Elephas maximus indicus: one gene and its partner. The protein of the gene in region 1 interacts with the protein of each later gene in a biochemical or structural test. Links are inferred from orthologs where the notes say so. Each region holds a gene or a part of one and is shown in the gene's direction. Other genes may lie near its edges.

The links. The genes of interacting proteins can lie anywhere in the genome.
Region 2: the proteins of NFE2 (region 1) and MAFG form a complex in vitro, tested with the Homo sapiens proteins (2 studies listed by BioGRID and IntAct, with this or other methods). The link is inferred for Elephas maximus indicus from reciprocal best matches to the Homo sapiens genes NFE2 and MAFG.

The regions. Positions count from the first base shown.
Region 1 is NC_064822.1:109,787,767-109,791,509, reverse strand, and holds NFE2 (transcription factor NF-E2 45 kDa subunit), read left to right. Parts: upstream 1-984; intron 985-1,736; 5' UTR 1,737-2,028; coding exon 2,029-3,168; 3' UTR 3,169-3,528; downstream 3,529-3,743. UniProt on the Homo sapiens protein: Component of the NF-E2 complex essential for regulating erythroid and megakaryocytic maturation and differentiation. Binds to the hypersensitive site 2 (HS2) of the beta-globin control region (LCR).
Region 2 is NC_064837.1:71,712,905-71,716,647, reverse strand, and holds the start of MAFG (transcription factor MafG), read left to right. Parts: upstream 1-1,489; 5' UTR 1,490-2,171; coding exon 2,172-2,265; exon of another isoform or gene 2,266-2,882; intron 2,883-2,960; coding exon 2,961-3,025; intron 3,026-3,159; coding exon 3,160-3,612; 3' UTR 3,613-3,743. UniProt on the Homo sapiens protein: Since they lack a putative transactivation domain, the small Mafs behave as transcriptional repressors when they dimerize among themselves.

The DNA.
Region 1 (3,743 bases):
AAATCAATCTCATAAACTAAGGCCTATAAAACACCAGCACAATTCTTGACAAGTGCTTAATAAGTCTTTGCTATGTTTTTTTTTTTTTATATTACCTCAGAAGAGGAAAGACCCCTGGCTGTGTGGGTTGGGGAATGGTCAAGATGACCCTGCGGGGACACGGGGCAGAGGTCCAGTGTCTCCAGAGCCCATTCCTCCTCTGCTGCATGCAGCTGATAAACCTCTTATCTGGCACAGGCAGGGGAGCCCAGGACCAGGATAGGAGGCGAAGGCAGGGCTGCTATCAGCCACCAGGCCTGGGCCCTATCTCAGGGAGGGGGAAGGGCTGTCTGCTTGACTCTTCCCACAACACGCCCATTGGGGATTCCCAAGCACTCACTTTCATCTTGGGAAGAAAAGGCAGAGACTCTAAAACGGGATGAGGAAAGCATGGGTGTTCCCCTGATGTCCCAGAGGACAGGAGAAAAAAAAAGAAAAAAACCCGGAAGTTCTGACTTCTGCCCCTGGCCAATTTTGGGGAGTAAGAACTAAGGGAAAAGAGAAGGCATCTTGTCTGAAAAAAAAAAAAAAAAGGCAAAGTCCAACTGTGTTCCCAAAGGAACTGCCTGCGGCCACAGCAAGTGTGGTAGAAGTCCACCGCAGAAAAAGACCTTTCAGCTTAAAGAGTTGGTTGGGTGAGTCCAGCACAGGTGAGGGAGGGGGCTAAGCTCTCTCCTTCCCTCAGGTGAAGTTGGAGGTAACCACTCAATTGAGGGAGGACAAAGGTGCAGACCGCTAGCAGTGGAGACCCTAACCTTTTCTTCTTTGCCACAGGTTGCTGGGGGCCGTTTGGGCTTTGGAGGAACCTGAACTAGGCCCTGGGCCAGTAGGATGCCCCCTTGTCCTCCCCAGCACAGCAGGAACAGGGTGACACAGCTGCCTACTCCGGATCTGGGCGAGATGGAACTGACTTGGCAAGAGATCATGTCCATCACTGAGCTGCAGGTGAGTAGGGGTGAGGGTGGGGCAGTAGAGGAGAATTGCTGAGAAGCAAGGGCTCTGGCTGGACTGAGGCAGGGGCTAAAGGGAGCAGGGCCAGGGTCTCAAACTGAAAATGTTCCAGGCACTGGAGAAGGAAGGGCTGGAGTTTGAGGGAGATCTGAATGAGACCAGAATATCAAGCAGGGGGTAAGAGTGGTGAAGAGGGAAGGATCTGATTGAGGGGGTAGGCTCTCTCCGCAGCCACTCTGCTCACATCACTCTATCCCACCTCCTGCCCCACCTCCTTTCTCTTTCCCCAGCCTCCCCTTCTCACCTTCTCTTTCCTCCTATGCTGCCCATCATCTTCCCTGTTTTCCTCCCCCTGCCCTTAGTAGCTAGGCCCCTTTCCCTCAGGTAACAGAGCAGTAGTAGTTCAGGGGCCTCAGGAAGGGTAGTCAGACTATGCTGGGGTCCTCTCCTCTGGCTAGTTGGACAAAGGGGTGTCTGTTGGCTGAACAATGGTGCCTTTGTCCCCAGCTGGGCTGGAGCAGGGTGGCTTCCCCGAAGTGGGTTGGGGGCCCTGTTTCTAGAATGTTCTCTCCTCTTTGCTGCACCTAGGAAGGGACAGAAAGCCTGGAGAGGAGAGGGCAGAGCCTGGGCTGGCTCACCGGGGTGTTTCTTAGCTCCCAGCCCTGGTTTTGTCCCGCCCTCCTTCCTTCCCCTGCCATCACTGCCTGGCATCCTCAGGATCTGCCCCAGGCCTTCCTCCCACACAGCAGCTCCCTCTGCTGGGCACCTGGAGCAAGGCCAGGGTCTGAACTTGACCCTTGGACCCTGGATAACTCCCTGCAAGCAAGGTTCTGCGAGGTCATCTTGGATAACAGCTCCTTGTCTTCCTGAAGGAAACAAAAGAACGTGAGCCATTTTAACCCAGTAAGAATGTCTGAGGAGATTCCATAATTGTTCCAATGTAAGGTAGTCCTTTCCGAAATCTGACCTTAGTGACTTCCATTCTTAAGCTGCTTTCCTCTTGGAACAGATGCATCACAGATTTATAAGAAGCTTCTGATGATTTTTAGCAACTTTCTGTTCCCTTGTTACTGTCTCACTGGGTCTTTCGGAAGGACCCGGCCTGGGCCTGAGAAAGAGCTGGCATCTCTTCCTCAGCATGTCTCCAAACATCTTTGTCTTTCTTTGCAGGGCCTAAACACTCCAAGTGAGCCATCGTTTGAGTCCCCAGCCTCAGCCCCATACCCTGGGCCCCCACAACCCCCAGCTTACTGCCCCTGCTCAATTCACCCCGATGCTGGCTTTCCCCTTCCTCCACCACCCTATGAGCTCCCAGCACCCACATCCCATGTACAAGATTCCCCATACTCCTATGGCAACATGGCCATACCAGTCTCCAAGCCACTGACCCTCTCAGGCCTGCTCAGTGAACCCCTCTCAGACCCCTTGGCCCTCCTGGACATTGGGCTGCCTGCGGGGACTCCCAAGCCCCAAGAAGACCCAGAATCAGACTCGGGATTATCCCTCAACTATAGTGATGCTGAATCTCTTGAGCTGGAGGGGACAGAGGCTGGACGGCGGCGCAACGACTATGTAGAGATGTACCCAGTGGAGTACCCCTACTCACTTATGCCAAACTCCTTGGCCCATCCCAATTACTCCTTGCCACCTACTGAGACCCCCCTGGCCTTAGAGCCCTCCTCAGGCCCTGTGCGGGCCAAGCCTACTGCACGGGGAGAGGCAGGGAGCCGGGATGAGCGTAGGGCCCTGGCCATGAAGATCCCCTTTCCCACGGACAAGATTGTCAACTTGCCGGTAGATGACTTTAATGAGTTGTTGGCACGGTACCCACTGACTGAGAGCCAGCTGGCACTAGTCAGGGACATCCGACGGCGGGGCAAGAACAAGGTGGCCGCCCAAAACTGCCGCAAGAGAAAGCTGGAGACCATCGTGCAGCTGGAGCGGGAACTGGAGCGGCTGGGCAGTGAGCGGGAGAGGCTTCTTCGGGCCCGTGGGGAGGCAGACCGGACGCTGGAGGCCATGCGCCAACAGCTGACCCAGCTGTATCAGGACATTTTCCAGCACCTGCGGGATGGAGCAGGCAACAGCTACTCCCCTGAGGAGTATGCATTGCAACAGGCTGCTGATGGGGCCATTTTCCTGGTGCCCCGGGGAACCAAGACGGAGGCCACAGACTGACCTGACCCAGAAGGGTGGGACTGGTAATGAGGATTTCTTTCATTCTCCTCTGATAAAGGTACTCTCTAACCCTGAGCCTGGAAGAAACTGAGTTTTCTAGACTAGAGTGGACAATGGGCACACCTGGCATTTAGAGGCTCTAGGGTGTGTTCTCATAGACTCATAGCGACCCCTATAGGGTCGCTATGAGTCGGAATCAACTTGATGGCACTGGGTTTGTTTTTTTGTTTAGGGTGTGTTCACCTTGAGGCCAGTATGTGAGGGGAGGCTGGAAACGCTCTTCTGTGACTCAGTTTCCCAGGTTTCCATCCTCCAGGTCTTGTCTAACATTTGGTCTATAAAGTGCTCTGCAGAAATATACTTCCGTGTGTCTTTCTTCTCTAGGGAGGGTGATGAAGCTGAGCACCCCTTGGAGTTTACTGCTTGTTGGGGTGGGAAGGGATCCTGCCAAGCTCATGTCTCTCACCTGTGAGCTCTGTTTGGGAGAAAGAGAGGGGGTGTCAAATGAGGAGAGAAGTACACACAAAGTTTGGCCTCAAGCGGTATGAAGCTCTGTCACTTTCATCTCCCTTTTC
Region 2 (3,743 bases), on another chromosome or scaffold:
CAGTTCCCCAAACTGGGAACTAGTTCTGTGAGCTGAGAGGAGGGGAGGAGCTTAGGGGGGCAGTGCTGGCAGGCTGAGAAGGATGGGCAGCCCCAAGCCAGAGAGGGCGGCAGTGGGAGGAAGAGAGGACAGGGCTCCTGGACTGGTGACAGGGGCCACTCCACCAGGACGTTGCAGCAGGAGTTAGAAGCCAGAAGGCTGAGGGATCCACTGAGCTTACTGTGCATGTGTCCATGCTCAGCTTGGGGTGATGGAAGCTGTGGGGGTGCCTGGCCTTGGTGCACCTGGCCTTGGGGAACAGCAGATTGCCTGGTGTGGACAGTGCGGGATGGGAGAATGCAGTGTCCCGTGACCTCAAGGTGTCCCTTCCTGAGGCTGTGTTTGGAGAAGTCAGCAAGGAAAAGGGGCCTGGTGGATGTTGGTATTTTGGTCCTAGTGGCCAGGCACTCTTGGGAAGTGACAGCCCAAGCGTGGTATAGCCTGAGCTGGCTCTCTTGGGGTGTATGAGTGGTTCCTGGCCCTGGAGCTCAGGGATTCATCAGGTTGGCCTTGTGGTTTGCCCTCAGGGGTGCCACACCCCCCAAATCTCACATTTGGTCCCCTGGGGCTTAGAGATGTTTTCACACTTCAGGGAACCCTTTGCTGGAGTTGTATCCTTTAGGAAAATGCAGGTTCCGGGAGGATGTTGTTTTTGTCTTAGGACTTCTTTGTGCTTGAGTGAAGGTTTAGACTCTCATCTCAGAGTGCCTTCCTAGCTGAGGGCTCTCTGGAGGAGGTGGGCCTGAAAGGCTGGTGGGAGCTGGGCTGGGGCATCCACAGTGTCCTCAGGTGTGCCTAGCCCACTGGGGCTGGCAGGCCAGGATGAACTCTGCTTCTGCCGTGTCCAGGCTGTAGGGTTGGGCACAAGGGGAAGGGGATGCCGTCCAGACCACTTCCCTTTCCTGATCCTCAATTTGGTGGGTGACCCAGGGCCCTCGGTGGACCCTCGGACAGCTTCTCCACATGGTGGGCTCAGCCTCTGGGAGGGTGCAGGGTTGGTCTTTTGTCAAGAGGAGGATTTTCAGTTGTGCAGGTGAGTGGATGACCCGCCTTCAGGACTGGGTGGAGGAGGCCTGGGGTGGGCAGCTCCTTCTTAATCTGCCTCTGGGACCCCCTTCCTCTAGTTTCTGGAGGTGCCCTGGAGTCCTAACCCCCAGCCCATCCCCAAGGCTATCTCTGTCTTCTGGGTGGGCAGAGGCCAGAGGGCCAGAGACCCTGGCTTTGCTGAGACCGCGCACACTGCGTGTGCTCATGCATACACGCATACAGCACACCTTTGATTAGGAGCAACTGGCTGCGCTTGTGCTGAGTTCAGGCCTTTTGTGGAGGGTGAAATCTGTCGAGGAGGCACTTTTCTGCTCGCTCCAGCCGCCACACTCGGCACTTTTCTGTGTGATCTCTTCAGGAAGTCATCGTTGTGCTGAATGGGGGGGGGAGGGGGTGGGAAAAGCTGGTGCCAATGCCGCCTGGGGCCACCTTTGCCTGGGTTGTGCAAAAACCCAGGGCTGCATCCCTGCACCTGTTCAGGCGCAAGGCTGGTGAACTCCTCCAGGCTCCCAGGGTGTGCAGGCAAGGACTTTCTGGTCTTCAGCCTCAGTCTCCATCCTTGGACCATGGAAGTACCTCTGGCCTTTCCTCCCCACTCTCACCTGTGGGTGGGCAGTTGGGTATGAGATGTGAGATGGGGTCTCTATCGAGTGTCCACCAAGAGCCCTGGGTCACCCCTACCTTAGCTCCTCTGAGGAAGCAGGAAAGCCTACAGCCCACATTGCCTCAAGCTCTGGTTTCCTGGTGCACCCTTCACTCCTGAGCCACAGCTCCCTGGGCCTAATCTGGAAAGTGGGGGGCAGAGCAGGAACGGAGGAAAGTCCTGGTTTACGGGTCTGGAAGGGGTAGCTGTGCAAAAATGCCCTGGTCATGCATCAGTCAAACACCTGAGGGTGGGGCAGGAGGGTCCCCGTGTGGATGGGGTGGCTCTTTGTCTTGGCTTCCTGGCTCTGTGGGGACTGACCTGGGATGGCAGCCTGAGTGGTCAGTGACCCCAGGGTGAGGGGCTGCCCACTGAGCAGGGCCCTGGTGGCTGCTGTACAGGTCCTTGTGAAATCCCCGATGGGGTGGGGCAGGGGTACTGGATGCTGCAACTTCAGCCCAGAGGCCAGTTGCCCCATCAGCGGAAGAGGCAGACAGAGAGGGCCGGAGTGGCCTTGGGTTGGGCGCTACTACAAGGTAGGGTGCACCTGAAAAGGGTCAGAACTCGTTGGGTGGCCCTGTCCCCACCTCTGCACAGTTAGATCTCTGGGGGACTCTGGTCTTCTCTGCCGAGTCCCCAGTGGGGACAAGCCCCCAGCCGTCCTGGGAGCTGGGACTTTGTCCTAGTGGCAGCTGGAGGGAGGACCCCGGAACTTGCGTACTCAGGGTTGCTGCACGGCCCTCACCTGCTGCTGGCCTGCTGGCCTTCCTGCTGGCTGCTCCCACAGGTCCCCTGGGGCTGGGCTGGCTGGCAGGGCCCCAGAGTGCCCGTGCTGCTGGGCGGGAGTGGTGATATGCTGAGTCAGCGTGACTCGCCGGGAACAGTCACTCTGGGGCGTGCACGCAGGGTTATTTTTAAAGGTCGTGGCTTCCTTCTGGGCCAGCCCCTCCTGTATTGTCGTCCTTCTGATCTCCCCTTGCCCCTTTTCTGGTCTCTGCCTCCCTCACAGCTGTCAGTTCCCCTGCCTAACAGACCCTCTTGGCCCTCCCCACCACCTGAGTCCCAAAAGGCAGGGTGCACAGAGAGCAGCCCCACCTGCCCCGAGAGGCCTGCTGACGGGCTGTCCTGGGGTCAGGTAATGGGGAACAGGCTGGTGAGCTGGCGTGGGATGGGCAGGTATGGGAGGCTGACGGGGGGTCTCCGGCCCTGACTTCTGCCTTGTGTCTTGCAGAGAGAGTCTGCTCACTGCGCCCCCGGGTTATGACGACCCCCAGTAAAGGAAGCAAGGCCTTGAAGGTGAGTGGGGGACGGGGTGGGAGCGCCTGGGGTGGGGTGCCATGGGAATGTGCCACCCTGAGGGAGTGCCCCAGGTGAAGCGGGGCAAGGCACAGCCAGAGCGTGCTGCCCTGACCATGTGCCGTCCACCACAGGTGAAGCGGGAGCCTGGCGAGAATGGCACCAGCCTGACGGACGAGGAGCTGGTGACCATGTCTGTGCGGGAGCTGAACCAGCACCTGCGCGGCCTCTCCAAGGAGGAGATCATCCAGCTGAAGCAGCGCCGGCGTACACTCAAGAATCGTGGCTATGCGGCCAGCTGCCGCGTGAAGCGGGTGACACAGAAGGAGGAGCTGGAGAAGCAGAAGGCGGAGCTGCAGCAGGAGGTGGAGAAGCTGGCCTCGGAGAATGCCAGCATGAAGCTAGAGCTTGACGCCCTGCGCTCCAAGTATGAGGCCCTGCAGAACTTCGCCAGGACCGTGGCCCGCAGCCCGGTGGCGCCGGCCCGGGGCCCCCTCACTGGCGGCCTGGGGCCCCTTGTCCCTGGCAAGGTGGCTGCCACCAGCGTCATCACGATAGTCAAGTCCAAGACAGATGCCCGGTCGTAGGGACGTGCGCGCCCCGGTGGGTCAGCGAGGGGCCGCCAGGCACGTGGTGAGCTCGGCAGTCCTGTCCCCCTTTCTTCCCTCTTCCTCTCTGTTCCTTCTTCTTCCTCTCAACTTCCTTCCTGCCCTACAAA